4 linked regions of the Anolis sagrei genome follow. The main gene of each other region encodes a partner of the protein of the gene in region 4 in a complex. Links are inferred from orthologs where the notes say so. Each region holds a gene or a part of one and is shown on either strand. Other genes may lie near its edges. The genes, in order: THOC3, THOC6, THOC7 and CHTOP.

Region 1 (7,595 bases), on a different chromosome or scaffold from region 4:
TTGTGCTCTGAGGCTTGTTAAAAGTCACTGTATGTTAGTTAGCAGAGACAGGTCATTATATCAAAAGCCAGATTTCAGCAATCCACACAATGATTTTTTGTGACAAATGAGCCAGTCGATATAACAATCAGGAACAGCTAATCACCTCTGAAAAAAAGATTCCCTCAGGCACTAACAAGCCACACCAAATAACTGCCAGGCCATCAAATGCTAATCAAGGTGATCAGTTGAAACATTCACAGCAGACAACATTCCAGCAGACAAGAGTACTTTGTCCCACCCTAGTCATTCCACAGATATATAAACCCAATTTTGTTAGTTCCAACAGACCTCATTACCTTTGAGGATGCTTGCCATAGATGCAGGTGAAATGTCAGGAGAGAATGCCTCTAGAACATGGCCATATAGCCAGAAAAAACCTACAACTACCCAGTGATTCCAGCCATGAAAGCCTTCGACAATACAAAGGCTGAAATTATGGTTGAACATTAATATTCATAATGGTATATATATATATATAAAAGGACCCGCTGTCAGTGCTCACCATGAGGGAGGTCATTAGGGGGCAAAACAGCTCTAAACACAGGATCACAGTTTAAACACAATTCCAATATACTAGATTTGGAACCAAAAAGAATGTGCCCAACTGCCAAGCCATCCTTACAGTTTTATCTTTCCTTGCTGGAACTTTTCAGGCATTTGAAAGCTGCATTGGAATTAAAGGGCCAAGAAAATTCCATTTCACTAGGGACCATATCCCAGCCCCCTTCATGTTTTAAAACAGCTATAATCCATTTAGGTAATTAAAAAGTGTCAAAGTCAATCCTACGATGTAGGTGGACTTCCTGTTTGTGCCAGTCATGCTCCGTAATGCAGGGGCGGCTCAACCCATTACGCAAAGTAAGCATTCGCAGTACAGTTGATTTTGCCCAGGGGCGCTCTTGAGGCGCTCTTGGGGGAAAATAGACCTTGACATGCAAGTTGTAGTTACTAGGATGTATAGTTCACCTACAATCAAAGAGCATTCTGAACTCAACCAATGATGGAATTGAACCAAATATGGCACACAGAACTCCCACGACAAACAGAATATATATATCTATCAGTGATTGGTTGGGTGGGGGGGGCACCAAAATACTGTTTGCTTACCATTGAAAATTATCTAGGGCCGCCTCTGCCGTAATGTAAACATCTAAAACAGTCCCAAAAAAGGGAGGGGGGCGAAGATGATTGTTTCACTGTTGCCTGATGTTGATGTCTAAGAATGTTATCATTTGATTTATGGTTTGAAAATTTATTTGATGAAACTATTCTTCATACCATTGCTATTTATTAATCAAATTAAATCAAATTAAATTGGTGTCCATTATCCCCTTCATTATGGCAGTGTAGAAGGGGCCTTAAAGCCTCAGCTTCAAAATCCCCGTTTGGTACTTTTGAGCCAAATAGCGAACGAATAGGTGCCCGCACCTCTTTTGGGCAAAAAAGGCAGAAAATGAGGGTTAGGATTATGATCTTGTAGTTTGGGTTGCTGTGAGTTTTCTGGGCTGTATGGTCATGTTCCAGAAGCATTCTCTCCTGACGTATCTCCTGCATCTATGGCAGCCATCCTCAGAGGTTGTGATAGCCTCAGGCTGTCACAACCTCTGAGGATGCCTGCCATAGATGCAGGAGAAATGTCAGGAGAGAATGCTTCTGGAATGCCTCAGGCTGTCACAACCTCTGAGGATGCCTGCCATAGATGCAGGCGAAACGTCAGGAGAGAATGCTTCTGGAATGCCTCAGGCTGTCACAAACTCTGAGGATGCCTGCCATAGATGCAGGCGAAACGTCAGGAGAGAATGCTTCTGGAATGCCTCAGGCTGTCACAACCTCTGAGGATGCCTGCCATAGATGCAGGTGAAACGTCAGGAGAAAATGCTTCTGGAATGACTCAGGCTGTCACAACCTCTGAGGATTCCTGCCATAGATGCAGGCGAAACGTCAGGAGAGAATGATTTTGAAATGCCTCAGACTGTCACAACGTCTGAGGATGCCTGCCATAGATGTAGGCGAAACGTCAGGAGAGAATGCTTCTGGAACATGGCCATACAGCCCAGAAAACTCACAACAACCCAGTGATTCCGGCCTTCGACAATACAAACGATGTTGTTTATTTATACCCCGCTTTTCTCTCCAAGAAGGAGACTCGGTACAGTTCAAAATCTACACATAGACAAACATGATGTCAACGCTGAGGTAACGGGGAGCGAAGAAGATCAGAGCCTTCCCCGCGCGCGGGAGCAGAAGCAGAACGGAAGTGCCTCCATCTTGGCTGCGGGCAAGCGCAGCCACACTCACCGCGAGTTTCTGTGGGCACCGCCGCCGCTTTTGCCGCGAAGCCTTCTTGCCTGGGAGCGGTCCCACATAGAGAACGTCTTCCTCCTCCATGCTGCCTCTCGGCGTGGTCCCGCCCACTAGGGGGCGTGGCCTACTCAGATGGGGAGTGGGGCCAAGGAAAGTTCTCTCCCAGAGCGAGGCCAGGAAGGGCTGGGTGCTTCACCAAGCTACAACTCCCACTGAAGGAGACGTAGTTTTAAAAGGGAATTTTCAGAGATGTCATTTACTACTGCCATCTCGGCCTGTTTCTGCAATAGGTCTTTGTTTACAGAAAATGCTGATGGTTTGAGACAACAGTGCTGCAGAGAGGAAGCTACTTGTCAAGGATAACAGTACATCCGGACAAAACCGGCTCGTTAGAACCTCCCAAGTTTCCCAGTTGCTCTGAAGTTATGTTTGCAACAGAATAACAGATTAAGAAAGTATTTATTTATCGTGACATCTGCAACCAGAACATTGTATTACATTTCTAACTGAACAAAACAAACAAACAAACAGATAAAAAAACCACACAAATTTTGCAATCTTGGTAGCTGATTAAATGTCCTTTGACCAGTATCTGGCCACTTGGAGTGCTTCTGGTGTTGCCGCAAGAAGGTCCTCCATTGTGCATGTGGCAGGGCTCAGGTTGCATTGCAGCAGGTGGTCAGTGGTTTGCTCTTCTCCACACTCGCATGTCGTGGATTCAACTTTGTAGCCCCATTTCTTAAGATTGGCTCTGCATCTCGTGGTGCCAGAGCACAGTCTGTTCAGTGCCTTCCAAGTCGCCCAGTCCTCTGTGTGCCCAGGGGGGAGTCTCTCATCTGGTATCACCCACGGATTGAGGTGCTGGGTTTGAGCCTGCCACTTTTGAACTCTCGCTTGCTGAGAGGTGTTCCAGCGAGTGTCTCTGTAGATCTAAAAAAACTATTTCTTGATTTAAGTTGTTGACATGCTGGCTGATACCCAAACAAGGGATGAGCTGGAGATGTCTCTGCCTTGGTCCTTTCACTATTGGCTGCAACTTCCCGGCGGATGTCAGGTGGTGCAATACTGGCTAAGCAGTGTAATTTCTCCAGTGGCGTAGGGTGCAGACACCCTGTGATAATGCGGCATGTCTCATTAAGTAAGTCATGGTCAGAGAACAATAGACTAGAGTTGTGTCCTTGATGTCAATCAATTTGGAGTGGGGCCAAAGAAAGTTCCCTCTGGTGCTTCTTTTAAAGAAGAGGAAGCTGCCAAGCCTCTCCCAAAGCGAGGCGTTGTAGGCTCGATATTTGTGTGCCCGAAGGAAAAGGGATGCTGGGTTGTTGTGAGGTTTTCGGGCTGTGTGGCCATGTTCCAGAAGCATTCTCTCCTGACGTTTCACCTGCATCTACGGCAGGCATCCTCAAAGGTTGGGAGCCCAGAGCAGGCCTGTAGCCAGGATTTTGATTTGGGGGGGGGGGGGCTGAGTCTGAGTGAAAGAGGGTCTACCCTAGCAAACCTTTTGTATCGTTACCCCAATACCCCCATGCATATGGGATATATTGAGCATGGTGATCAGATCATGATATGAATAAACATGTTTAAATAATGTAGCAGTAAGGTCTTTTCGTGGACCACCATGTGAATTTCGGGGGGGGGGGGAGCTGAAGCCCCCAAAGCCCCCCCCCCCCCCCCCCCGCTACATGCCTGGTCCAGAGGTTGAATCAATCCGTGAAACATGAATCAGTCAGGGCCAGGTAACACCTCCCAGCAAAGGATTCCCCTAGACAGCAACGATCCAGGCTTTGAAGCTGCAAGGCCATTAAATGCTAATCACGGTAGCCAATTGCAACAGTCACACTTGCCTCAAGAGTTCTTTCTCCTATCCTGGACATTGCAGAGATAGCTAAACCCCGCTTGTCTTGTTTCCAACAAAGCGCACTACCTCTGAGCCTGCCATAGCTGTGGGTGAAATGTCACACTGCATTTCTTATACCAGTGCTTCTCAACCTGTGGCTCCCCAGGGGTTTTGGCCTACAACTCCCAGAACTCCCAGCCAGTTTAGGATATCTGGAAGTTCAAGGCCCTCAAGGGATGAGGCGAGGCCCACTCCCAACCCGGGCCACAGCTGTCACTTGCCCATTCCAGAGGAAGGCACAGGCGCGAGCAGTGACGTCACGGAGGCGCGCCCTTTCTGTCCCGGAAGCGGAAGGCGCGCGGGCTGAGCGTCCGGGGTGGGGTTGCCATGGCGGCGCCGTCCTCTCCCTACGTGCAGGCCATGCAGGAGCTCTTCCGCGCCAACACGCGCAGCCGCGAGTTCCCAGCCCACGGCGCCAAGGTCCACTCGGTGGCCTGGAGCTGCTGCGGCCGCCGCCTCGCCTCCGGCTCCTTCGACAAGACCGCCAGCGTCTTCGTGCTCGACAAAGACCGCCTGGTAAGCGGCAGAGGGATGTGGGCCGCGCCCGCCCAAAGCCTCCTCGCCTTGCCTCCATCACGGCCAGTGTTCTTCGCAACTTGATGTGACGCTGCTTAGGCCCATCTACACGGTCCCATTTAAAAGGAGGCCAGACAGCAAACTCCCACCAAAGCGCATGAAAAGCCCTTAATACGCATTAGTGCTCTGTGGTCTGTGTAATCGCCACCCGGACCCCAAAACTGGTCCCAGGATCTCCCATGCTAAGCAATCGCATATGCTTTCAAACCACTTTCTTCCCTACTACGTTAAATGGTCTGTGTAGATCAGTGATTCTCCAGGTGTTTTGGACTTCAGCTCCCACAATTCCTAACAGCTGGTAATAATAATAATAATAATAATAATAATAATAATAATAATCTTTATTTATACCCGGCCACCATCTCCCCAATTGGGACTCCGAGCGGCAGACATGAGGCCAAGCCCAAACTGAAAATTACAATAAAATAAAACCGAAAACCCAAACAATAAACAACAAACAACATAATTACATAAAACATATGATAGCAATATAAAATTACAATATGCACAATCACAATGAAAATGGGCTTATTTATTTATCGTGTCATCTGCAACCAGAACATTGTACTACATTTCTAACAGAACAAAACAAACAAACAGATAAAAAAACCACACAGATTTTGCAAACTTGGTAGTGGATTAAATGTCCTTTGACCAGTATCTGGCCACTTGGAGTGCCTCTAGTGTTGCTGCAAGAAGGTCCTCCATCGTGCATGTGGCAGGGCTCAGGTTGCATTGCAGCGGGTGGTCAGTGGTTTGCTCTTCTCCACACTCGCATGCCGAGGATTCCACCCTGTAGCCCCATTTCTTAAGATTGGCTCTGCATCTCATGGTGCCAGAGCGCAGTCTGTTCAGCGCCTTCCAAGTCGCCCAGTTTTCTGTGTGCCCAGAGGGGAGTCTCTCATCTGGTATCACCCACGGATTGAGGTGCTGGGTTTGAGCCTGCCACTTTTGAACTCTCGCTTGCTGAGGTGTTCCAGCGAGTGTCTCTGTAGATCTAAGAAAACTGGGCTGGCAACATGTAATGATTAAAAGAGACTGATTAAAACTAACTAAAACTCAGGTGAGATGAGAGAGAGACAGATTATTTGCAGAGGAGGACTCATTATAGTGGGGGTTGTGGAATCAGGCTTTCCCACAAAGGGGAACACATATACTCCAATGACAAAACGTTGACAAATAGTGTGAGAATGTAAACCTATTCATCAAAAGCACAGCAGAAGAGCCAGGTTTTAAGGTCCTTTTAAAAGGTTTCTAAGGTAGGGGTAAGATGGCTGGGATTTCTGGGAGCTGAAGTCCAAAACACCTGGAGGCCAAAGGTTGGCAACCACTGTAGCTGTTCCTTGTGTTACAAGATGTGGCTGAATGAAATTCATAATGACATTTGTGTGGTAAAGTTCAAAGCCGTGGTCGTTTTACAAGGTCTTTAGCCTTCTCTGCTAAAGATTGCTGGCTGCCTAATCAAACTACAACTCCAAGGATTTCACAGCATTGAGCCATGGCAATTAAAGGGGTGGTAAAGGTATAGATTTCCCCTTGACATTAAGTCTAGTTGTGTGAGTATGTGGGGTGGTGCTCATCTCCATTTCTACTCATCTCCATTTCTAAGCCAAAGAACCAGTGTTATTTGTAGACACCCCCAAGGTCATGTGGCTGGCATGACTGCATGGTGTGCTGTTACCTTCTCGCCAAAGCGGTACCTATTAATCTCACATTTGCATGTTTTCAAACTGCTAGGTTGGCAGAAGCTGGGGTTAACAGCAGGAGCTCACCCCATTCCCTGGATTCGAATCACTGACCTTTTGGTCAACAAGTTCAGCAGCTCTGCTGTTTGACTCACAGTGCCAGCATAGGCTCTGGTGTAAAGCTGCATAAATTTTACATATTCTGGAAATTTAATAAAATTCCTGCATTCAAGTGGATAAATTCATCCTGAAAGAACAAAGTTGATAGTATCTTTTGTAAATTGGGACTGCATCTACACTTCAGAATTAATGCCCTTTGATACCATTGCCATGACTCAATGCTGTGGAATCATGGAAGTTGTAGTTTTACAAGGTTGTTAGCCTTCTCTTTCAGAGTGCTGGGGCCTCACCAAAAGTTTAGTTGCTGGATTATTTGAGAAAGGCAGAAATGTGTGTTTGTGCACACATCTGTACATAATGATGTGGAATTTAAAACTGTACTTCATTTCCCTCTCTAGGTGAAGGAGAGTAATTACCGTGGCCATGGAGATAGTGTGGATCAGTTGTGCTGGCACCCCAGTAACCCTGACTTATTTGTCACGGCATCTGGAGATAAAACCATTCGTATCTGGGATGTCCGCACCACTAAGTGCATTGCCACAGTGAACACCAAAGGTAAATGACACTAATCTTAATTGAAGAATATCTGTCTTTTGCAAGTATTTGATCATGTAATTGGGGGAGTACTAAAATAAGAAATTAATCCTGAGAAGACATCACTTTTTAATTGCACTTTTAACCCATGTAGATCTCTCTCCTTCATCAGATCTTTTCCCCTAAAAAGTGGGCTGAGCTGAAACTGTATTTTACTCTTGTTATGTTTTAGAAATGTTACTTGAACAGTGTCCAAGTAACATCATCTTCTGAGGCTTAGGTCTGAAAGGCTGTCCCAAGCCCCCATGTCTCCTTGTATTAGTTAACCCAGGTTTCAAAATCCTTAAAAGAGGACAATCTGGTGATTTCTCCCAAGTTGTAAATTTCCTTGCAGAAGAGGTTTCTTGGCTCTGTCCGGTTTTTCTACTGTGACTTTG
Region 2 (7,021 bases), on a different chromosome or scaffold from region 4:
GTTCTGTATTATCCAACGCAGTCGGCCTCCTGCCTGGATCTATAGCTCTTTCATTGAATAGCTTTGCAGCTTCAAAGCCTGGCTGCTTCCTGGCTGAGGGAATCCCCTGTTGGGAAGTGATTAACTAGCCTTGTCTGCCTCCCATCTGGAACTCCCCCTTTTTTGAGAGCTCCTCTTCATTCACTGTCCCAATCCTAGGGTCTCTTAATACTGGTACCCAGATTTTGCTCCTCCCCATGGCCTCCTCCCCTCTGCTCAAACTGTCCACATGCATGTGGACTTCAATGGTCTCCCTGTGCCGTTCGACATGGCAGCCGCCAAAGTGGTCCAGCATTTCTGTGCTCCTAAATAACACGCCATGTCCAGGTTGGCCCACCAAGTGCTCCACCACAGCCCACCTCTCTGGTTGAACCAGTCTTCTATTGAATATAGAATACATGGTGATCCTATAGAGCTGTGCACTTTAGGAGATTTATGGTAATGCTAGTCTTTACTGAAGTTTTTGGGTGTGAAAAGAAGGAATAACTTAAATTGACTTGATTATTTCACATAGACTCAGAAATGTATTAAATTCATGGCCCAGCATCTCCAATTCAAAACCTCATTTTCAACCACAAAGGTTTGGCCAAAATGAGAAACACTGGAAGTCCTTTTATATCTTGTTGAACTCTCCCCATCATATTTGACCACTGGCCCTGCTAGGTGAGGCTAATGGGAATTGGAGTTCAACATCTGGAGAGCCAATGCTTCCCATCCCTAGACTTGACCTTATGTTTATGTAAGATCCCTTTTACATGGCCATATAGTCCAGATGATCAAAGCAGATAATCCACATTATCTGGTTTGAACTGGGTTGCATTCACACTTCCATATAATCCAGTTCAAAGCATATATATATATGGATTTTATATGAAAGTAGAAGGAGCCTAAGAACTTGCATCCATACACACCAAGTATAGTCATTATTATAATAATTATTAATACCCAATTTTTTCTCTCTAAAAAGAGACTCGGCTCCCTTCTACACTACCATATAAAATCCAGATTATATAATTTGAATTGGATTATTTATTTATTTATTTATTTATTAGCTGCATTTGTTGACCGCCGTTCTCAGCCCTTTAGGGCGACTTATATTATACGGAAGGTGTGGACTAATATAATCCAGTTCAAAGCAGATAATGTGGAGTATTTGCTTTGATAATCTGGATTATATGGCAGTGTAGAAGGAGCCTTGATGTTGTCTTACTTCAGTTGAAAACAAGTGAAGTAACACTTGCAAGTACATAACTTTTCTGGCTGGACTGTTACCGTATCCTTCACTGCTGATGGTTGTAAAACATTAAGGCATAATACCAGAATAGGTCACACTTGATCCAAACAACAGTTGATGCTTGCAATGGACTGAGTGGGCTATTTTAGTGCTGTATGTTTTTTTAATGTTCGGATGCAATGCCTGTTTTGCTTCAAGGAATACTAATGTTATGGCATAAATGGTGTGTTTGGAGAAGAGGAAAAGGAAGGGAGGACACCTAACACCTAGCCCACTGAAACAATGATAAACTGCAATGATTAGAAGAGGAAAAGAATAATATATGGACAGTGGACTGTTGTTATTAGCTACGGTTTGGTTTCATGTTGCACCATAACATGGGCTGCCATAAGGTCCACAAAAACTGTTCCTATGCTGTCACGCGCTGGGCCTGCGAAAGAGTCTGTAGACAGGACGTGTTTTCTGAATGCCCAACGGGACGCCGGGGGTGCCTCGGCTGAGAGGCCGTTTGGATTTCTCCACACAAAGTTATTTTAAAGACTTAGAAAGCTCAACAAAGTTTTTATTGTTACTTAAATCTTTAATAAATCAAACAAATACTTCAAGGCTTTGAATCAACTGGTGGCTTGCTTAAATCTTGTCCACAAGGGACAGGCAACTTTCTTCATAAACTGTTTCTTCCTTCTATAAGGGAAATCCTTGACCCCTTCTTGAGCAATCTATATTTAGGCTTTGCTGGCGTGGGGCCCCTATACTCGGTTCCAATTTGCATTATGGCTGCCGCAAGAGGTCCTTACCAGGCCAAAGTCTCTGTGTAGATTTTCAAGAGGAAAGAAGTCCTTTGTTTCCCAGTGAAGGCTGGCTGAAAAACCGTGGAGCTGTATTTCTCCAGCAAAGAGCTGGCTGTAGAGTTGTGGAACTAAATTCCCCAACAAAGGCTATGCTGTAGTTCTCGGTATTTATTTGTCGTGTCAGGGCTGAGGTGTTCCAGCGAGTGTCTCTGTAGATCTTAGAAAACTATTTCTAGATTTAAGTCATTGACATGCTGGCTGATACCCAAACAGGGGGTGAGCTGGAGATGTCACTGCCTTGGTCCTTTCACTATTGGCTGCTACTTCCCGGCGGATGTCAGGTGGTGCAATACCGGCTAAGCAGTGTAATTTCTCCAGTGGTGTAGGGTACAGACACCCTGTGATAAAGCGGCATGTCTCATTAAGAGCCACATCCACTGTTTTAGTGGTGAGATGTGTTCCACACTGGGCATCCATACTCAGCAGCAGAGTAGCACAGCGCAAGGGCAGATGTCTTCACTGTATCTGGTTGTGATCCCCAGGTTGTGCCAGTCAGCTTTCGTATGATATTGTTTCTAGCACCCACTTTTTGCTTGATGTTCTCGGTAGAGCTGTGGGACTGGATCCCCCAGCAAAGCTGTAAAAGACGAAGCTTTCTACAGGTGGAACTGATTCACATCCTGTATGAAAGGCTTCTCTGTGTAAACTGAACTACAGGCAGGGCCGTAGCCAGAAACAAAATTCGGGAGGGGTTGAAAATTTTGCGGGGGGGGGGGGGGGTGAAACCTGCCTCCTAGCCCACGCTGAAGCAAAGAGCACAGCAGAGGGCAGAGCAGCCTTCAATAACCTGCAGCTCCGCCCCTGTCAACCACCTCCACCAAGTCTGGCCTCCTTAATGAGAGAATTCAACACAAACACACCCAACTTGGTTGCTTTACTACATCGGCTATTGCTGCAAGTAATGACAGTGTGGATAAATTGTCAATATTTGCTTGAGATAGTGCTTGCAGTTCTGGAGGGACTCTGTAATTTTTTGCATCTCATAGACTTAGCATGGGGATTTGGTTAACCAGTTAAAATTCATGAGTAAACCAGGTTTTTTAAAAAATCTGAAACATTTCAGGGGGGGGGGGGGGTTGAACCCCTAAAACCACCCCCTCGCTACAGGCCTGACTACAGGCCCCCCTTTCCCCCTCCTTAACCCAGAAAAAGGGGCGGAACTAAACAACATAATCATTGATGGGTCATTGGCCCTATTGGAGCCCCCGGTGGCGCAGTGGGTTAAAGCACTGAGCTGCTGAGCTTGTTGATCAAAAGGTCTCAGGTTCGATTCCGGGGAGCGGCGTGAGCTTCTGCTGTCAGCCCTAGCTTCTGCCAACCTAGCAGTTCGAAAACATGCAAATGTGAGTAGATCAATAAGTACCGCTCCGGCGGGAAGGTAACGGCGCTCCATGCAGTCATGCCGGCCACATGACCTTGGAGGTGTCTACGGACAACGCTGGCTCTTCGGCTTTGAAATGGAGATGAGCACCACCCCCCAGAGTCAGACATGACTGGACTTAATGTCAGGGGACTATCTTTACAGCCGTACCAGCACAGTTCCCGTAATGCAACCTTTCTCATAGCCTTCCTTGATCTATTATGAATGTATCCTTGTCATGTCTTTCTTTCCAAGGTTCAGGGTCTAAAAAGGTCACATTAGGAGGCAAGCCTTTTGAGGGCAATTCAGGACAAGACCTCTCTGCCCTGGCCTGACTTGGGCCTACTAATCCAGGCCCACGCCCACAGAAAGGCAAGCAATAGAGATCCCAGAGTGCTTTGCGCTCCAGGCGGCCATTTTAAGAGAGCCCTAGCAACACCGACTTCATACATTCCCCTCACGGTGGGCGTGTCTATCCTCAGAAGGGGCGTGGCTTTCCCTGCCATTGAAGCGCGTTGCTTCTCTGCGCATGCGTCAAGCAGAGGAGGGAAACGCGGCGCCACCAACGGTTAGTAGAGGGCCTAGCCTAGGAAGGGGGATGTGGGCCTACAGGTCTCTTGTGCGCATGCGCTGTATGATAAGGCAAGGCTTTTCTCATTCTTACCGTGCAAATACGATTTACGACTCTCTTCTGGTTGGAGGAGCCCTCTCTTTGAAGCCGGGGACGAAGCGGCGTAGGAAAGTAGCAACAAAATGCCTTTTTTCAGTCACGTGACGGAATGTAACTCCACCGCGAGGTAGCTTGGGAAATGTAGTCCCAACTGTCGCTTCTTCCCCGCCCTCTGGTAGGATATGGCTCTGGGAAGACTACGACTCCCGTGATGCCTTGCGCTCGTGGAAGCTTCTCTTTCCTTACTTGCCCATAGAGATAGAAAGTGAAGAATGCTTTCTGGAATTGGTTCTGAATCTTCTTGGAGAACAAATCAATTCTGTGGTTCTTTTGGTTTGCGGGGAAGGCGTGAATAAATGGATATGGTTTCTTAATTTTTGAAATTATTAGTATCTTTGGACAGGAATTCACTTAAAGCAACAGTGTCTCATTTTGTTCCTCCAGGTATTTTGGACTTCTTGCTCCCAGGATTCCTGACTGTTGGCCAAGATGGATGGGAATTGAAGTCCAAAAAACCAATTGGAACAATTCACTTAAAGAAGGCATGGGCAAACTTGGGCCCTCCAGATGTTTTGGACTCCAACTCCCACCATTCCTAACAGCCTCAGGCCCCTTCCTTTTCCCCCTCAGCCGCTTAAGCGGCTGAGGGGGAAAAGGAAAGGGCCTGAGGCTGTTAGGAATGGTGGGAGTTGAAGTCCAAAACACCTGAAGGGCTGTTTGCCTATATCTGACTTAAAGCATCTTACGACACATAAGCAAAGGTATTTTAATAGTAGGTAGACTCAGTAACTATTCTAAAGCCTTTGTCTGTGTGGATCCTAATAATTTGTGGCAAGTTCTTGGTGGTATGGGGATACCAAATCACCTTATCTCTCTCCTGAGGAATCTGTATAAGGACCAAGTAACAACAGTAAGAACTGACCATGGAACAACAGACTGGTTCAAGATTGGGAAAGGCGTACGGCAGGGTTGTATACTCTCACCCAACCTATTCAACTTGTATGCAGAACACATCATGCAGGGCTTGATGAATGCAAGGTCAGGGTTAAAATAGCTGGAAGAAACATTAGCAACCTTAAATATGCAGATGATACCACTTTGATGGGCAAAAGCGAGGAGGAGCTGAGGTGCTTTCTTGTTGTTGTTGTTCATTCGTTCAGTCGTCTCCGAGTCTTCGTGACCTCATGGACCAGCCCACGCCAGAGCTCCTTGTCGGCCGTTACCACCCCCAGCTCCCTCAAGGTCAGTCCAGTCACTTCAAGGATGCCATCCATCCATCTTGCCCTTGGTCGGCCCCTCTTCCTTTTGCCTTCCACTTTCCCCAGGTGCTTTCTAATCAAGGTGAAAGAAGAAAGTGCTAAAGCTAAGTTGCAGTTAAACATTAAAAAAAACCCCAAGATTATGGCAACCAGACTGATTGATAACTGGCATATAGAAGGGGAAAATGTGGAGGCCGTGACAGAGTTGGTGTTTCTAGGTGCAAAGATTACTGCAGATGCAGACTGCAGACTGGAAATCAGAAGATGCTTACTTCTTGGGAGGAGAGCAATGACCAATCTCAATAAAATAGTGAAGAGTAGAGACATCACATTAGCAATGTTAAAGCAATGGGATTCCCCGTTGTAACCTACAGATGTGAGAGCTGGACCATAAGGAAGGTTGAGCGAAGAAAGATAGATGCTTTTGAACTGTGGTGTTGGAGGAAAATTCTGAGAGTGCCTTGGACCATGAGAAGATCCAACCAGTCCATATTTCAGGAAGAAAAGCTTATTGGAGGGAAGGATATTAGAGGCAAAGATGAAGTATTTTGGACACGTAATGAGAAGACAGGAAAGCTTAGAGAAGACAATGATGCTGGGGAAAAAGGAAGGAAAAAGGAGGAGGGGCCGACCAAGGGCAAGATGGATTGATGATATCCTTGAAGTGACTGGCTCGACTCTGAAGGAGCTGGGGGTGGTGACGGCCGACAGGGAGCTCTGACGTGGGCTGGTCTATGAGGTCACGAAGAGTCTGAAGTGTCTGAACGAATGAACAACAAAAACTCAGTAACAGTTTTAAGCATCCTTCCTTCATAAATTCAAGAAGATAGGAAACTCTTCATTGATCCATTTATCCCAATATTGTCCATACTAATTTACAGCCACTCTCCAGAATTACAGGCCGGATTGTTTCCAAACACTAGAGATCTCCAGGCTTGATCTTGTTCACTTCGCCAAACCAGTGAAGACTAGCATATTTAGGGTGGTACTACTGACCTGACTTCTCATCCCACCTTTTGCCAGATGAATATCCAGCGATCCCTTGAGCTGCTGCACATGACCGTCTACTCCCAGAGCGTCTCGCCTTGTGGAAAGTATTTAGCGGCTGGGAACAATTATGGAGAGATTGCCATATTCAGGTAGCTAGTGCTTTCTTAACACAAAGGGTGTTTTTGGGTGAGACATTAATTTGAAATGATTACAAGTTACATTTCACGGTCTTTCCCTCCTCTTTACAGCCTTTCAGCAGCACTGAGTTCAGAGGCCAAGGAAGAGAGCAAGAAGCCAGTGGTTTCCTTTACAGGTAGATCATTATGGTCCGGTGAATCCAAGCAATTCCTGTCATGTTTGTGACTGTTCAGATCTGACCCACCATGTCATTTTATGTGGCTCTCCAGATACTGGACTACAACTCCTATGTTCCTCATCATAATCATCATAACTAGAGCTAATGGCAGTTGTAATACAGTAACACCTGGAAGGCTGCAGTTCGTTTAGTCAGTGGAATGTGGTTTGAATTTAGATACAAGGCTTGTGGATATGATACATAATGGATCATGTGATTTTAATTGATGCTTTAGTGCTATGTTTTAATGGGTTTGGTTTTAA
Region 3 (7,384 bases), on a different chromosome or scaffold from region 4:
GAACTGGCCGTCTGAAAGGATGTGGCCCAGATGTTTTGATGTTTTATCATTCCTGTGGGAGGCTAGAGCTGATAAGAGGGAGCTCATCTGTGCTCTCCCCAGATTTGAACCTCCAACCTGTTGGTCTTCAGTCCTGCTGACACAAGGGTTTATTTTATTATTTTAAAGCACCGAGGGCTCTATCTGCATACACGTCTCTGCCACTTTATTTACAGGACATGACTATCTACAGTCAGTGTAAACTGCAAAATACATTATCAAGGTTCATAATTCCAGAGAGAATGCGGAATAATGTACATTTGGAAATGTCAAAATACTTAAGTAACTAGTGTATGATACTTGCTCAGAGTCATTTACATTTCATTACAACCTTTACACTATTTCAATATTTGTTTTCCTGAAAAAGAGTCTTTCTTTGTGTTCATTGAAATATACTCTACCAGTAAAAAACTTCACATTCAAAATGCACTACTAAATGTCATTGGACACAATCCCCATGCCCCTTTAACATTAGTAGATATTACAGAGTACTGGCGTTTGATGGGCTGCACTTAGTTTCCATTTATTGATAAGATTTTACCATGTATAAATATGTGAGAGGAAGCCACAGGGAGGAGGGAGCAAGCTTGTTTTCTGCTTCCCTGGAGACTAGGACGCGGAACAATGGCTTCAAACTACAAGAGAGGAGATTCCATCTGAACATGAGGAAGAACTTCCTGACTGTGAGAGCCGTTCAGCAGTGGAACTCTCTGCCCCGGAGTGTGGTGGAGGCTCCTTCTTTGGAGGCTTTTAAGCAGAGGCTGGATGGCCATCTGTCAGGGGTGATTTGAATGCAATATTCCTGCTTCTTGGCAGGGGGTTGGACTGGATGGCCCATGAGGTCTCTTCCAACTCTCTGATTCTATGATTCTATGATTCTAAGATAGAAAAATACCCTTCTTCTTGGGATCCAGAATTGCACCACTTGATGAAACTCTTCACCAACAAATTAATTCGTCTGTCATCACCAGCACCATCTCCATCAATCAAAAGTCGCTTGCGAATAACTTCATCTAAAGAAGAAACAATATTTCAAAATTAATAATGTTCGTTTATGAGTTGTGATCACAGACACAGGGCCCTTCCACACAGCCCTATAACCCAGAATATCAAGGCAGAAAATCCCACAATATCTGCTTTGGACTGGGTTATCTGAGTCCACACTGAGATGTGGGATTTCCTAGCTTGATATTCCCTGATATAGGACAGTGTGGAAGAGCCCATAGTCAGGACCTAAGGAAATTACCTGAATCTTGGATCAGATCGCAGTACAAAGGGCTGTGTGGAAGGGCCCTCCAACCACAGATGGGGAACCATTCACTTTCCAAAGGTTTTGGCCTCTCTATTTCCATCCAACATGGGCCAATGACTGTGGATTGTGTGATCCAAAATATTTGGAGAGTCAAATGTCCCTCACATCTTCCTTAAATATATACATACTGTTATCAAAATAAGGATATTTTCCTTCTTTTTAGATACATTGTTTAATTAATGCAAATAGGAAATCAGAATCTAACTTTAAAGTAAAATTGATTATTATTACCATTATTATTAACATTGTTATGTGGAGAAAGACAAATCTAAGGGCCCTTCCACATAGCCATATAAACCAGAATACCAAGGCAGAAAATCCCACAATATCTGAACTGGGTTATCTGAGTCCACACTGCTATATATTCCAGTTCAAAGCAGAAAATGTGGGATTTTATCCAGCTGCATGGAAAGTACTTGAAGTGTGAAACAGGAGAATGATACAGGGAATATGGAAACGACCAAATGCAAAAAAAAATTTATTCAGCTGTGTGGAAGTGGCCCCAGATAACCCAGTTCAAAACTGAGACTGTGGGATTTTCTGCCTTGATATTCTGGGGGCTCTTCCACAAGGCCCTGAATGCCAGAATATCAAAGCAGAAAATCCCACATTATCTAAGGGCCTTTCCACACAGCCATATAATCCTGAATATCAAGGCAGAAAATCCCACATTATCTAAGGGCCTTCCCACACAGCCATATAATCCAGAATATTGAGGCAGAAAATCCCACAATATCTGCTCTGAACTGAGTTATCTGAGTCCACATTGCCATATATCCCAGTTCAAAGCAGAAAATGAGGGATTTCATTCAGCTGTGTGGAAGGGGCCTGTGTGGATTCAGATAACCCAATTCAACGCAGATATAGTGGGATTGTCTGCCTTGATATTCTGGGATATAGGGCTGTGTGGAAGGGCCCTCAGATAACCCAGTTCAAAGCAGATATTGTGGGATTGTCTGCCTTGATATTCTGGGCTATAGGGCTGTGTGGGTTGTCTGAGTCCACATTGCCACAATATCTGCTTTGAACTGGGTTATCTGAGGGCCCTTCCACACAGCCCTATATCCCAGAATATCAAGGCAGACAATCCCACTATATCTGCGTTGAATTAGGTTATCTGAATCCACACAGCTGAATGAAACCCCTCATTTTCTGCTTTGAACTGGGATATATGGCAATGTGGACTCAGATAACTCAGTTCAAAGCAGATATTGTGGGACTTTCTGCCTTGATATTCTGGGCTAGAGGGCTGTGTGGGTTGCCTGAGTCCACCGTGCCATCTATCCCAGTTCAAAGCAGAGAACGTGGGGTTGTATTCATTCAGGTGTGGAAGAGGCCTCAGGGCGCCCCACACTCCTTCCCAAAGGTGAAAACCACCCCAGGAGGGGGAAGAAGAGAGCGAAGGCCTCAGTGAGGAGGAGGGAAGAGGAGGCCTGGAAGAGGAGGAAGGATGTGAAGGCCTTGCTGAGGCGAAGGCCATGAGGGCAGAAGGGACTCGAGCCTGAGGGAAAGGAAGGAGGAAAGAAAGGAGGAAAGAGAGGGCCCGGGAAGGCCTCGCTGGCTGGGAGCAAGAAGGGTCGCGGCGGCCGCTGTCCCCTCCTTGGCCGGCTCTGGAGGCGCTGGGTCTCTCACCATCGGTGACGGCGCCCATGGCGATGGCGAAGGCCGCGGCGGAGGCAGGAGGGAGCGAGTGAGGAAGTGAGGGAGTGAGGCGGCTTCCCACAATGCAGCGGCGGCGGCGGCAGTAGCAGGAGCAGCCGGGTAAGCGGCGGCGGCAGCAGCAGGAGCAGCAGGAGCGGCGGCGGCGGCCATGGAGGGGGAGGAGGAGGCGTCGTCGTCGTCGTGGGCTGCTGCGCCTGGGCCCTGAAGCAGGCCGGGCGCGGGTTCCAAGGGGAGGGCGACTCGCTAGGCTTGGCTCGGCAAGCAGGCCCGCCTCGCCCCGCCCGCCTGCCCCTTCCTCCGCTCCAGGTGAGAGCCAGGCAGGGGGAAGCGTTCACCCACCACCAGAAATCCCTGCCTCTCCCCTTTGGTGACCTTTTGGCCACGCTGGGGAATTAACGCAGTTTGACACCGCTTCGAAGGCAGGTTGGACTTTTGGTGAGGCCCCAGCCAGAGAAGGCGCCAGGCCTCGGGAAACTTTTCAGTGCTACGGGATCCTGGGATTTATAGATTTGGGTGAGGCACCTACACACTGACAGAAGCTAGTGCAGGCCTGGGCGAACTTGGGCCCTCCAGGTGTTTTGGATTTCAACTCCCACAATTGTGGAACTTGAAGTCCAAAACACCTGGTGGGCCCAAGTTCACACAGGCCTGAGCTATAGAGTTTGTGAAACTACATCTCCCATGAATACATAGTATCCAGCCAGGATAAAGTGGGGTCAAACTCCACCCATCCTACCTTTACAGGCATGGCTCAATGCTATGGACTCCTGGGATTTGTAGTTTTGGGTGAGGCACCTACACTTGGGCAGAAAGCTATCTCCAGCCTGAGCCAACTTGGGCCCACCAGGTGTTTTGGACTTCATCTCCCACAATTGTGGAAGTTGAAGTCTAAAACACCTGGTGGGCCCAAGTTCACCCAGGCCTGAGCTATAGAGTTTGTAGAACTACGGCTCCCGCGAATCCATAGCATCCAGCCAGGATAGATAAAGTGGTGACAGACTGCACCCATTCTATCTTAACAGGTATGGCTCAATGCTATGGAATCCAGGGATTTGGTTTTGGGTGAGGCACCTACACTTGGGCAGAAAGCTAGTTCAGGCCTGGGCAAACTTGGGCCCTCCAGGTGTTTTGGACTTCAACTCCCACTAGCTCAGGCCTGGGCCAACTTGGGCCCTCCAGGTGTTTTTTGACTTCAACTCCCACAATTTTGGAAGTTGAAGTCCAAAACACCTGGAGGGCCCAAGTTCACCCAAGCCCGAGCTATAGAGTTTGTAAAACTACATGTCCCATGAATCCATAGTGTCGAGCCAGGATAGATAAAGTGGTGTCAAACTCCACCCATCCTACCTTAACAGGCATGGCTCAATGCTATGGAATCCTGGGATTTGTAGTTTTGGGTGAGGTACCTACATTTTGGCAGAAAGTCAGAGAGTTTGTAAAAGGATAGTTAAAGTGATGTTTTGTTGGGGATGCCACTTGAACATTAGGAAGAACTTCATGACTGTAATAACACCTGTTCAGCAGTAGACTACATGGCCCATGTGGTCTTCATGATTCTGTGTCAAACTGCAATGATTCTACTTTAATGGCCGTGGCTCAATACTATGGAATCCTGGGATTTGTAATTTTGGGTGAGGCACCTACACGTGGGCAGAAAGCCATATAGTTTGTAAAACGATAGTTAAAGTGATGTTTTATTGGGGATTCCACTTGAACATTAGGAAGAACTTCATGACTGTAATAACACCTGTTCAGCAGTAGGCTACATGGCCCATGCAGTCTTCATGATTCTGTGCCAAACTGCATTGATTCTACTTTAACGTCCATGGCTCAATGCTATGGAATCCTGGGATTTGTAGTTTTGGGTGAAGCACCTATACTTTGTCAGCAAACTAGACTCGAGTTTGTAAAACTACAGTTCCCATGGTATCATAGTAGTGAGCCAGGGTAGTTAAAAGATGTGTCAAACTGCATCCATTCTACTTTAAAGGCCATGGCCTCTAGTTATGGGTGAGGCACCTACAGTTTGGCAGAAAGCTAAAGAGTTTGAAAATCTTCCATGATTTTATTGTATTGAACCTGGATAGTTAAAGTGATGTCTTATTGGGGATTCCACCTGAACATTAATAAGAACTTCCTGACTGTGAGAGCTGTTCAGCAGTGGAACTCTCTGCCTCAGAGTCTGGTGGAGGCTCCTTCCTTGGAGGCTTTTAAACAGAGGCTGGTCAGGGGTGCTTTTAATGTAAGTTTCCTGCTTTTTGACAGGATGGTCCACAAGGTCTCTATAATTCTATGTCAGACTGCATCTATTCTGCTTTAACAGCCATGGCTCAATGCTTTTGAATCCTGGGATTTGTAGTTTTGTGAGTCACTTGGGCAGAAAGCTAGAGAGTTTATAAAAGGGCAGCTCTCATGATTCCATCATCTTGAGCCGGGATAGTTAATATAATGTCTTATTGGGAATTCTGCCTGAACATTAGGAATAACTTCCTGACCATTCCACAGTGGAACTTTATGCCTCAGAGTATAGATCAGGGGTCCTTAAACTTTTTAAACAGAGGGCCAGGTCACAGTCCCTCAAATTGTTGGAGGGCCGGATTATAATTTGAAAAAAAAAACATTTATGAATTCCTATTCACACTGCACATATCTTATTTGAAGTGCACAAACACTTATTTGAAGTGCACAAACAATATAATAATTAAAATGAAGAACAATTTTAACAAATATAAACTTATTAGTATTGCAATGGGAAGTGTGGGCCTGCTTTTGGCTTATGAGATGGAATTGTGGTTGTTGTGTGCTTTCTGGTCGTTTCAGACTTAGGTTCACCTTGAGCAAGGACTGGGTAAATGACCTTGGAAGGCCGTATCCGGCCCTCGAGCCTTAGTTTGAGGATCCCTGGTATAGATGGTCCAAGTGATCTTTATGATTCTGTACCAAACTGCATCGTTTCTTCTTTAATGGCCATGGCTCAATGCTATGGAATCCTGGGATTTGTAGTCTTGGGCAGGGAAGGCAAGAGGCTTTGTAAAAGGACAGCTTCCATGATTACATAGCATTGAACCATTATATTTAAAGTGACATTAAACTGCATTAACTTTACTGTAATGGCCATGATTTATTGCCATGACTATGTTATGGATTTAGAATGGTTCCCAAACTGTAATATTTCAGGAATTTTGGATGTGGGCTTCCAGAACCCCTGATCATTTTGGCCAGGGCATCTGAGACCAAATATCCCTTGAAGAATAGCGTTTGGGATTCACTGCTTAATGTGATCATGGGTGTTGATCGGTGAGGTGAGGCATACACACTCTTAGGCAGAGAAGGCTAAAGAACTTGTAAAACTACTGCTCCCGTGATTCCATAGCATTGAGCCATGACATTGAAAGTGGTGTCAAATTGCATTAATTCTACTTTAACAGTCATGGTTCAATGTTATAGAATCATGGGAGTTGTAGTTTGGTGGGCAGAATAGGCCCAGGACGTTGTCAAACGATAGCTCCCATAATTCCATGTGAACTGTAGTTTGTGGAATCCTGAGAACTGTGGTTTGGTGAGGCCTCAGCACTCTTCGGCAGAGAATGTAGAAGACCTTGCAAAGCTACAACTCCCGTGATTCCATAGCATTGAGCCATGACTGTTAAGATGGCGTCAAACTACATTAATTTTACCGTATAGATATGCCCTAAGATTATCTGTATGTAAATATTCCAAATCGAACCAGTGTGGTGCAGTGCTTTGAGAATTCAATGATAGCATTGGAGGCCTGGATTTGGTTCACTGCTCATCCATGGAAACCTGCTGGGTGACCTTGGATGAATCACATCTTCTCAGTTCCCGAAAACCCAAGTCACCTTGGGATTTCTCTAAATCAGAAGTGACTTGAAGGCAAACAACAACAGATAGCCCAAAATCCTAAATTCAAAATAATACTGGTCCTAAGCATTTTGGATAAAGGATACTCAAGCTGTTCTACCATTATGAGGTCTTTTGTAGCCTGTTTATCGCTTTCATGACCTCCTTCACTGATGCCATTTTCACTATCCCTCACTCATATTATCATTGTTGTTGCCATAATAATTTCATCTCTGCTGCCACTTCTGTTTTCTCCCAACCATTTCTGCCATTACCATCTCTTTTGCTGCTACTACACTGGCCTGCTTTCCTTATTTACCACCTGTTTCCCTTACCTATCAGAGTCATCTATAGCTTTCAGTAGGGCACCATTACTGTAAATGCTTTTCATTATGCTTTGTCATGTGTGCATCTTTTATTGTTATTGTTCCCGTGTTTATATTCTGTGCTGGTATGCTAGGTCTTCTGTTTCCTGTGTATTTGTGGAAAGGCACATCCATTAAGAACACT
Region 4 (7,926 bases):
AAGGCCATCCAGTCCAACCCCCTTCTGCCATAACAGATAGATAGATAGATAGATAGATAGATAGATAGATAGATAGATAGATAGATAGATAGATAGATAGATAGATAGATCCATAGATGCATAGATAGATGCATAGATAGACAAACAGTATCCTAGAGTTGGAAGGGCTCCCCAGAGGCCATCCAGTCCAGCCCTCTTCTGCCATAACAGATAGATAGATACATTGATAGATAAATACATAGATAGATAGATAGATAGATAGATAGATAGATGGATGGATGGATGGATGGATGGATGGATGGATGGATAGAAAGATGCATAATTAGAGTTGGAAGGAGGCCCCAGAGGCCATCCAGTCCAGCCTCCTTCTTCCATAATAGATACATGGATGGATGGATGGATGGATGGATGGATGGATGGATGGATGGATAGATAGATAGATAGATAGATAGATAGATAGATAGATAGATAGGATAGATGGGAGGATAGATGGATGGAAGGAAGGATAGAAGAATGGATGGGTGGATGTGAGGACAGATGAATGGATGGATGGATGGATGGATGGATGGATGGATGGATGGAAGGAAGGAAGGAAGGAAGGATGGATGGATGGGAGGACAGATGGGTGGATGAATGGAATGATAGGAGGATAGATTGATGGATGGAAGGATAGAAGAATGGATGGATGGAAGGAAGGAAGGATGGATAGAAGGATAGGAAGATGGATGGATGAATGGATAGGAGGATGGATGGATGGATGGATGGGAGGATAGATGGATGAATGGAAGGATAGAAGGATGGATGGATAGAAGGATAGGAAGATAGATGGATGGAAGGATAGAAGAATGGATGGATGGAAGGAAGGATGGATGGATGGAAGGAAGGATAGGAGGATAGATGGATGGAAGGATAGAAGAATGGATGGATGGAAGGAAAGATGGATGGATGGAAGGAAGGAAGGATAGGAGGATAGATGGATGGAAGGATAGAAGAATGGATGGATGGATGGAAGGAAAGATGGATGGATGGAAGGAAGGAAGGATAGGAGGATAGATGGATGGAAGGATAGAAGAATGGATGGATGGATGGAAGGAAAGATGGATGGATGGAAGGAAGGAAGGATAGGAGGATAGATGGATGGATGGAAGGATAGGAGGATAGATGGATGGATGGATGGATGGATGGAAGGAAGGATAGGAGGATAGGAGGATAGAATGGATATTTATATTTATTTATCGTGTCATCAGCAACCATACCATTGTGTTACAATTCTAACAGAACAAAACAAACACACAGATTAAAAAGAAAAAAAAGGAAAAAGAAAAAAAACACACAGATTTTGCAAACTTGGATGGATGGAAGGAAGGAAGGATGGATAGATGGATGGATGGATGGATGGATGGATGGATGGATGGATGGATGGATGGGAGGATAGATGGATGGGAGGATAGATAGATGGATGGAAGGATAGAAAAATGGAGGGAAGGAAGGAAGGATGGATGGAAGAAAGGATAGAAGGATGGATGGATGGATGGATGGAAGGAAGGAAGGAAGGAAAGAAGGAAAGAAGGATGATGTATGGATGGATAGATAGATAGATAGATGCATGCTGCATGCATACATACACAGGTAAACAAATAGTATCCTAGTGTTGGAAGGGGCCCTCAGAGGCCATCCAGTCCAACCTCCTTCTACCATAATAGATACATGGATAGACAGACAAATGGTAGGTACCCTAGAGTTGGAAGGGGCCCCCAAAGAAGGCCATCCAGTCCCACCCCCTTCTGCTCAGGATGTTTCCTGCCTGTTTCTGCCTGCAAGATGCAATGGGGCGCTCCCTTCCTCCTCCTCCTCCATGGGGCCTCCTTATCTCTTGTATCCGTGGCTGAGACACTCCTTGGCACCCGGTTTGGCAGGATTGGCAATTGGGCACAAACACAAACAGACACAGCAGTGGGAGGGGCCTTCAATGCACATCATTTGAAGAGACCCACAAAGGATATCCAGCCTGGTGGGCAGGGAAGACCCCACCAAAACCCTCCCGACAGATGTCCCGACTGTCTGTACCTCTCAATCCAGAGCTGTGGATTTAACGGGCCGATTGCAACACATGCGTCTGGAATATGTACATAATTCATCTCTTATAATAATACACAAATATATAATGTATACATCATCATCATGATCATTATTCCAATAATAATAATTAATTAACCTCTTGGATGACCCCTTTGACCACCTTCTACCCTCTTTCCATTGCCCAGGATGGATGGATGGATGGATGGATGGATAGATAGATAGATAGATAGATAGATAGATAGATAGATATTTGCAACTCACCTGCTGTCACCGAGAGATCTCTCCAGCCGATGTTGATCCCTCTGAGTGTGTCTTGCTGAGTGTGTCTTGCTGAGCGCAATCCAGATCCAGGATCCTGATCAGCAGGAAGATCCACCTGGCTCTCCATGCGCAATGCTCCTGCTCCGGGAAAAGGCTCAAAGGACTCTCCGGGAGCCCCAAAGGACATCCAGCCCAACCCCAAAATACAGGAATCCTTTTTCTTAATCATCCCTTTCCACTTTAATTCCAGATTATTATTATTATTATTATTATTATTATTATTATTATTATTATTATATCTGTTGTTGTTTTTGTTTTTAAACAGTCTGCTCTGATACAAAGATTCTATTATTCTATTCAGCTAGCTCTTTCTCCGAATGGCCATCTCTCAGGAGGGATTGAATTGTGTGGATGGATGGATAGACAATCTATGATGGCAGAAGGGGGTGGACTAGATGGCCTTCTTTGGGGTCCCTTCCAACTAAGAGCCTGCCTAACTATCTCCTTCTCTGTGTGGCTATCTATCGGGAGGGATTGAATTGTATCTATCTGTCTTATCTATCTCCTTCTCTGGATGGCTATCTATTGGGAGGGATCGAATTGTGTGTTCTTATCTATCTGTCTGTCTGTCTGTCTCTCCTCTGTGTGGCCATCTATTGGGAGGGATTGAATTGTATCTATCTGTCTTATCTATCTCCTCTAGATGGCTATCTATCAGGAGGGATCAAATTGTGTCTTCCTATCTATCTATCTATCTATCTATCTATCTATCTATCTATCTCCTTCTCTGGATGGCTATCTATCAGGAGGGATCGAATTGTGTCTTCCAATCTATATATCTCCTTCTCTGGATGGCTATCTGGCAGGAGGGATTGAAATGTGTCTTCCTATCTATCTATCTATCTATCTATCTATCTATCTATCTATGTCCTTCTCTGGATGGCTATCTATCAGGAAGGATTGAATTGTGTCCCTATCTATCTATCTATCTATCTATCTATCTATCTATCTCCTCTGGATGGCTATCTATCGGGAGGGATTGAATTGTGTGTTCTTACTTATCTATCTGTCTGTCTCCTCTGTGTGGCCATCTATAAGGAGGGATCAAATTGTGTCTTCCAATCTATATATCTCCTTCTCTGGATGGCTATCTATCAGGAGGGATTGAATTGTGTCTTCCTATCTATCCATCTCCTCTGGATGGCCATCAATTGGGAGGGTTTGAATTGTGTCTTCCTATCTATCTATCTATCTATCTATCTATCTATCTATCTATCTATTAACCTATGTCCTTCTCTGGATGGCTATCTGTTGGGAAGGATCGAATTGTGTCTATCTATTGATCTCCTCTGAACGGCCATCTGTCGGGAAAGATCGAATTGTGTCTTCCTATCTATCTATGTATGTCTCTATCGATGTATCCATCCGTCTCCTTCTCTGGCCATCTGTCAGGAGGGCTTTGATCCTGCTTTCCCTGCCTGGCCAAAGATGGTCGGACTGGATGTCCTTTGGGGGTCCCTCTTCCAATCCTTGGGACTCTTTGCTTCCATAGCCTTATTTCTCCACGAACCCGGTCATGCCTATGAGGCTGACTGGCCATCTGTCGGGAGGGATCACATTTAAGGTATGTATGAGCAGAAAAGGCGGTTCCATTTGAGAGCCACGCTGCAATGCTCGGGAACGGCCACTGGAGGGCGAAAGAGAGCTGGACCTGCCCCTAGATATAGGAAAGGCAAGAGTGCCAAGTCCAGAGGGAGAAGCCATTTCCCTGGAGACTTCTTGTACTTCTCCATCCAGCCCCGCCTCCTTGACGCATGCGCAGTGTCACCGTTCTTGTCCCATAATCTAGTCTCTTTTAACGCATGCGTAGAAGCACCATTTGTCACAGTCCCTCACTGTCTTAACGCATGCGCAGTGGTGCCGTCCTGATGTCTCCTATAATGCCGGATCCTTTAACGCATGCGCAGAGGCACCATCCTGTCAGTCCAGCCCTCTCGTTTTCAACGCATGCGTAGTGGCACCGATTGGTCAGTCAAGCCAGTCTCTTTTAACGCATGCGCAATGGCATCATTCTTATTCCTCAGTCCAGCTTAGTCTCCTTTAACGCATGCGCAGTGGCACCGTTTTGTCAGCCGCGTTTCTTTCAACGCATGCGCAATGGCATCAGTCATTTTCGATCCAGGTGAGTCTCCTTTAACGCATGCGCAGAGGTACCGTTTTGTCTAGTTTCAACTCATGCGCAATGGCATCATTATTACTCGGTCCAGGTTCGTTTCTTTTAACGCATGCGCAGTGACACCATTTTGTCTAGTTTCAACACATGCGCAATGGCATCATTCTTATTACTCGGTCAAGATTAGTCTCCGTTAACGCATGCGCACTGGCACCGTTTTGGTCCGTCAGTCAATTTTAACGCATGCGCAGTAGCACCATTCTGGTTCCTCGGGTCTGTTTCGTCTCCTAAACGCATGCGCAGTGTCACAATACTGGCCTCGCTTGTCCCGCCTCGCCTCCTTAACGCATGCGCAGTGTCGACGCCGCCTCCGCCATTTTGCCGGGCTTCGTCTGAGGGGAGTGTGGAGAGCGAGGCCGGAGCCGAAAGGGAAGAGAGAGAGCGAGAGGGGGCAAGGGGAGGCGGAGTTCGGACTAGAGGAGGACACGGAGACCGCCACCATCTTTGCGTTCGGGGCGCCCGAGCGGGGAGGGGGCCGGGCCAAGCCTGAGCGGAGCCTCCCGCCGCCGCCGCCTCTCCCCGCAGAGCCCGGCCAGGCCGAAGCCAGCCAGGCCCGAGCCCGACGGTGAGCCCCGAGAGGGGGGGAGGGGGAGTGGGGAAATGGGGGGGCTGAGGGGAGAGGCAGCACACGTGACCCCCTTCCGAGGCCCCGCCCCCTCGTTGAGCCGAATAGATAGATAGAAAGGCACCATTCGATCCCTCCCGGTAGATGGCCGTCCAGAGTAAATAAATAGATAAATAGGAAGACATCATTCGATCCCTCCAGATAGATGGCCATCCAGAAAAGATAGGTAGATAGATAGATAACAAGACACAATTCAATCCCTCCTAATAGGTGGCCATACAGAGAAAATAGATAGATAGATAGACAGATAGGAAGACACAGTTCAATCCCACCTGATAGATGTCCATCCAGAGAAGATAGGTAAGAAGACACAATTTGATCCCTCCCAATAGATGGCCATCCAGAGAAGATAGATAGATAGATAGATAGATAGATAGGAAGACACAATTAGCTCCCTCCTGATAGATGGCCATCCAGAGAAGATAGAGAGATAGATAGGAAAACACGATTCGATCCCTCCCAATAGATGGCCATCTAGAAAAAATAGACAGGTAGATAGATAGATAACAAGACACAATTTGAGCCCTCCTTATACATGACCATCCAGAGAAGATAGATAGATAGATAGACACAATTCAATCCCTCCTGATAGATGGCCATCCAGAGTAGATAGGTAGATAGATAGGAAGACACAATTCAATCCCTCTGATAGATGGCCATCCAGAGAAAATACATAAATAGGAAGACATCATTTGATCCTTCCAGATAGATGGCCATCCAGAAAAGATAGATAGGTAGGTAGGTAGAAAAATAACAAGACACTATTCAATCCCTCCTGATAGATGGCCATCCAGAGTAGATAGATAAATAGATAGATAGATACAATTTGAGCAGTCCCGGTAGATGTCCATCCAGGGAAAATACATAAATAAATAGGAAGACACAATTTGATCTCTCCAGATAGATGGCCATCCAGAAAAGATAGATAGGTAGAGATAGATAACAAGACACAATTCAATCCCTCCTGATAGATGGCCATACAGAGAAGATAGATAGATAGACACGATCCGATCTCTCCAGATAGATGGCCATCCAGAAAAGATAGATAGGTAGAGATAGATAACAAGACACAATTCAATCCCTCCTGATAGATGGCCATATAGAGAAAATAGATAGATAGATAGATAGATAGACAGACACGATCCGATCTCTCCAGATAGATGGCCATCCAGAAAAGATAGATAGGTAGATAGATAACAAGACACAATTCAATCCCTCCAGATAGATGGCCATCCAGAGAAGATAGATATATAGGAAGACACTATTCGATCCCTCCCAATAGATGGCCGTACAGAAAGGCTAGATAGATAGATAGATAAAAAGACACAAATTGAGCCCTCCTGATAGATGGCCATCCAGAGAAGATAGATAGATAGATAGATAGATAGATAGATAAATAGGAAGACACGATTCGATCCCTCCCAATAGATGGCCATCCAGAAAAGATAGATAGATAACAAGACACAATTTGAGCCCTCCTGATAGATGGCCATACAGAGAAAATAGATAGGTAGATTGGAAGACATAATTCAATCTCTCCCAATAGATGGCTATCCAGAGTAGATAGATAGGAAGACACAATTCAATCCCTCCCTATAGATGGCCAGAGTAGATAGGTAGATAGGAAGGCACAATTCAATCCCTCCTGATAAATGGTCATACAGAGAAGATAGATAGATAGATAGATAGGAAAACACATTTCGATCCCTCACGATAGATGGCCATCTAGAAAAATAGATAGGTAGATAGATAACAAGACACAATTTGGGCCCTCCCGATAGATGACCATCTAGGGAAGATAGGAAGACACAATTCAATTCCTCCTGACAGATAGCCATCCAGAGAAGATAGGTAGCAAGACACAATTTGATCCCTCCCAATAGATGGCCATCCAGAGTAGATAGGTAGGTAGATAGCTAGGAAGACACAATTCAATCCCTCCTGATAGATGGCCATCCAGAGAAGATAGATAGATAGATAGGAAAACACAATTTGATCCCTCCTGATAGATGGCCACCCAGAGAAGATAGATAGATAGATAGAAAAACACAATTAGCTCCCTCCTGATAGATGGCCACCCAGAGCAGATAGGTAGAAAGATAGGAAGACACAATTCAATCTCTCCTGATAGATGGCCACCCAGAGAAGATAGATAAATGGGAAGGCACAGTATATTATTATTTTACTGTTATTTTACAGAAAATAACAGTAATTGTTTACTGTTACTATTTTACTATTATTATTTTAGCTGTTGTTGTTTATTATTATTGACACAAAAGCACAATATGTCACAGCAAACGAGATCTAGATGCTGGATTTCGTATCCCAAAATCACAAGTCAAACCCTTCCCAAACGTCTAGGACTGTGTGCTGTATTTTCAAATGATGCGCACAGATCCAAGTCAATTGACAGATCGTGATTTTGTCGATGTTTATTGTTTCCGAGTGCCGGCTGAGATCTTTTGGCACGGCACCCAGTGCGCCAAATATTATTATTTATTTATTTACAGCATTTATATCCCTAGGGGAACTCAAAGCATCATTGTCTTGTCTAAAAATATTACCCTCTTATTTGGAATGGCAATATCATTTTATTATTATTATTGTCTTGTCTAAAAATATTACCCTCTTATTTGGAATGGCAATATCATTTTATTGAGGGTTTCCAAATGCTGGCTGAATCGCCTTTTCGTTGGTCTTTTGCAGATTCTGGGGACCTGAGATGGCC

The links.
Region 1: CHTOP (region 4) and THOC3 share a complex: the UniProt entries of both Homo sapiens proteins name them as parts of the transcription/export (TREX) complex. The link is inferred for Anolis sagrei from reciprocal best matches to the Homo sapiens genes CHTOP and THOC3.
Region 2: CHTOP (region 4) and THOC6 share a complex: the UniProt entries of both Homo sapiens proteins name them as parts of the transcription/export (TREX) complex. The link is inferred for Anolis sagrei from reciprocal best matches to the Homo sapiens genes CHTOP and THOC6.
Region 3: CHTOP (region 4) and THOC7 share a complex: the UniProt entries of both Homo sapiens proteins name them as parts of the transcription/export (TREX) complex. The link is inferred for Anolis sagrei from reciprocal best matches to the Homo sapiens genes CHTOP and THOC7.

What each region holds. Positions count from the first base shown.
Region 1 is NC_090022.1:78,399,859-78,407,453, forward strand, and holds the start of THOC3 (THO complex subunit 3), read left to right. Parts: upstream 1-4,530; 5' UTR 4,531-4,570; coding exon 4,571-4,759; intron 4,760-7,022; coding exon 7,023-7,179; intron 7,180-7,595. Other genes in the region: SIMC1 (SUMO-interacting motif-containing protein 1), read right to left, coding at 2,341-2,430. UniProt on the Homo sapiens protein: Component of the THO subcomplex of the TREX complex which is thought to couple mRNA transcription, processing and nuclear export, and which specifically associates with spliced mRNA and not with unspliced pre-mRNA.
Region 2 is NC_090026.1:16,484,818-16,491,838, forward strand, and holds the start of THOC6 (THO complex subunit 6 homolog), read left to right. Parts: upstream 1-3,954; 5' UTR 3,955-4,013; coding exon 4,014-4,052; intron 4,053-4,148; exon of another isoform or gene 4,149-4,284; intron 4,285-6,436; coding exon 6,437-6,552; intron 6,553-6,651; coding exon 6,652-6,716; intron 6,717-7,021. UniProt on the Homo sapiens protein: Component of the THO subcomplex of the TREX complex which is thought to couple mRNA transcription, processing and nuclear export, and which specifically associates with spliced mRNA and not with unspliced pre-mRNA.
Region 3 is NC_090022.1:33,441,402-33,448,785, forward strand, and holds the start of THOC7 (THO complex subunit 7 homolog), read right to left. Parts: upstream 3,068-7,384; 5' UTR 3,003-3,067; coding exon 2,984-3,002; intron 1,053-2,983; coding exon 935-1,052; intron 1-934. UniProt on the Homo sapiens protein: Component of the THO subcomplex of the TREX complex which is thought to couple mRNA transcription, processing and nuclear export, and which specifically associates with spliced mRNA and not with unspliced pre-mRNA.
Region 4 is NC_090032.1:1,492,515-1,500,440, forward strand, and holds the start of CHTOP (chromatin target of PRMT1 protein), read left to right. Parts: upstream 1-4,851; 5' UTR 4,852-5,138; intron 5,139-7,904; 5' UTR 7,905-7,920; coding exon 7,921-7,926. UniProt on the Homo sapiens protein: Plays an important role in the ligand-dependent activation of estrogen receptor target genes. May play a role in the silencing of fetal globin genes.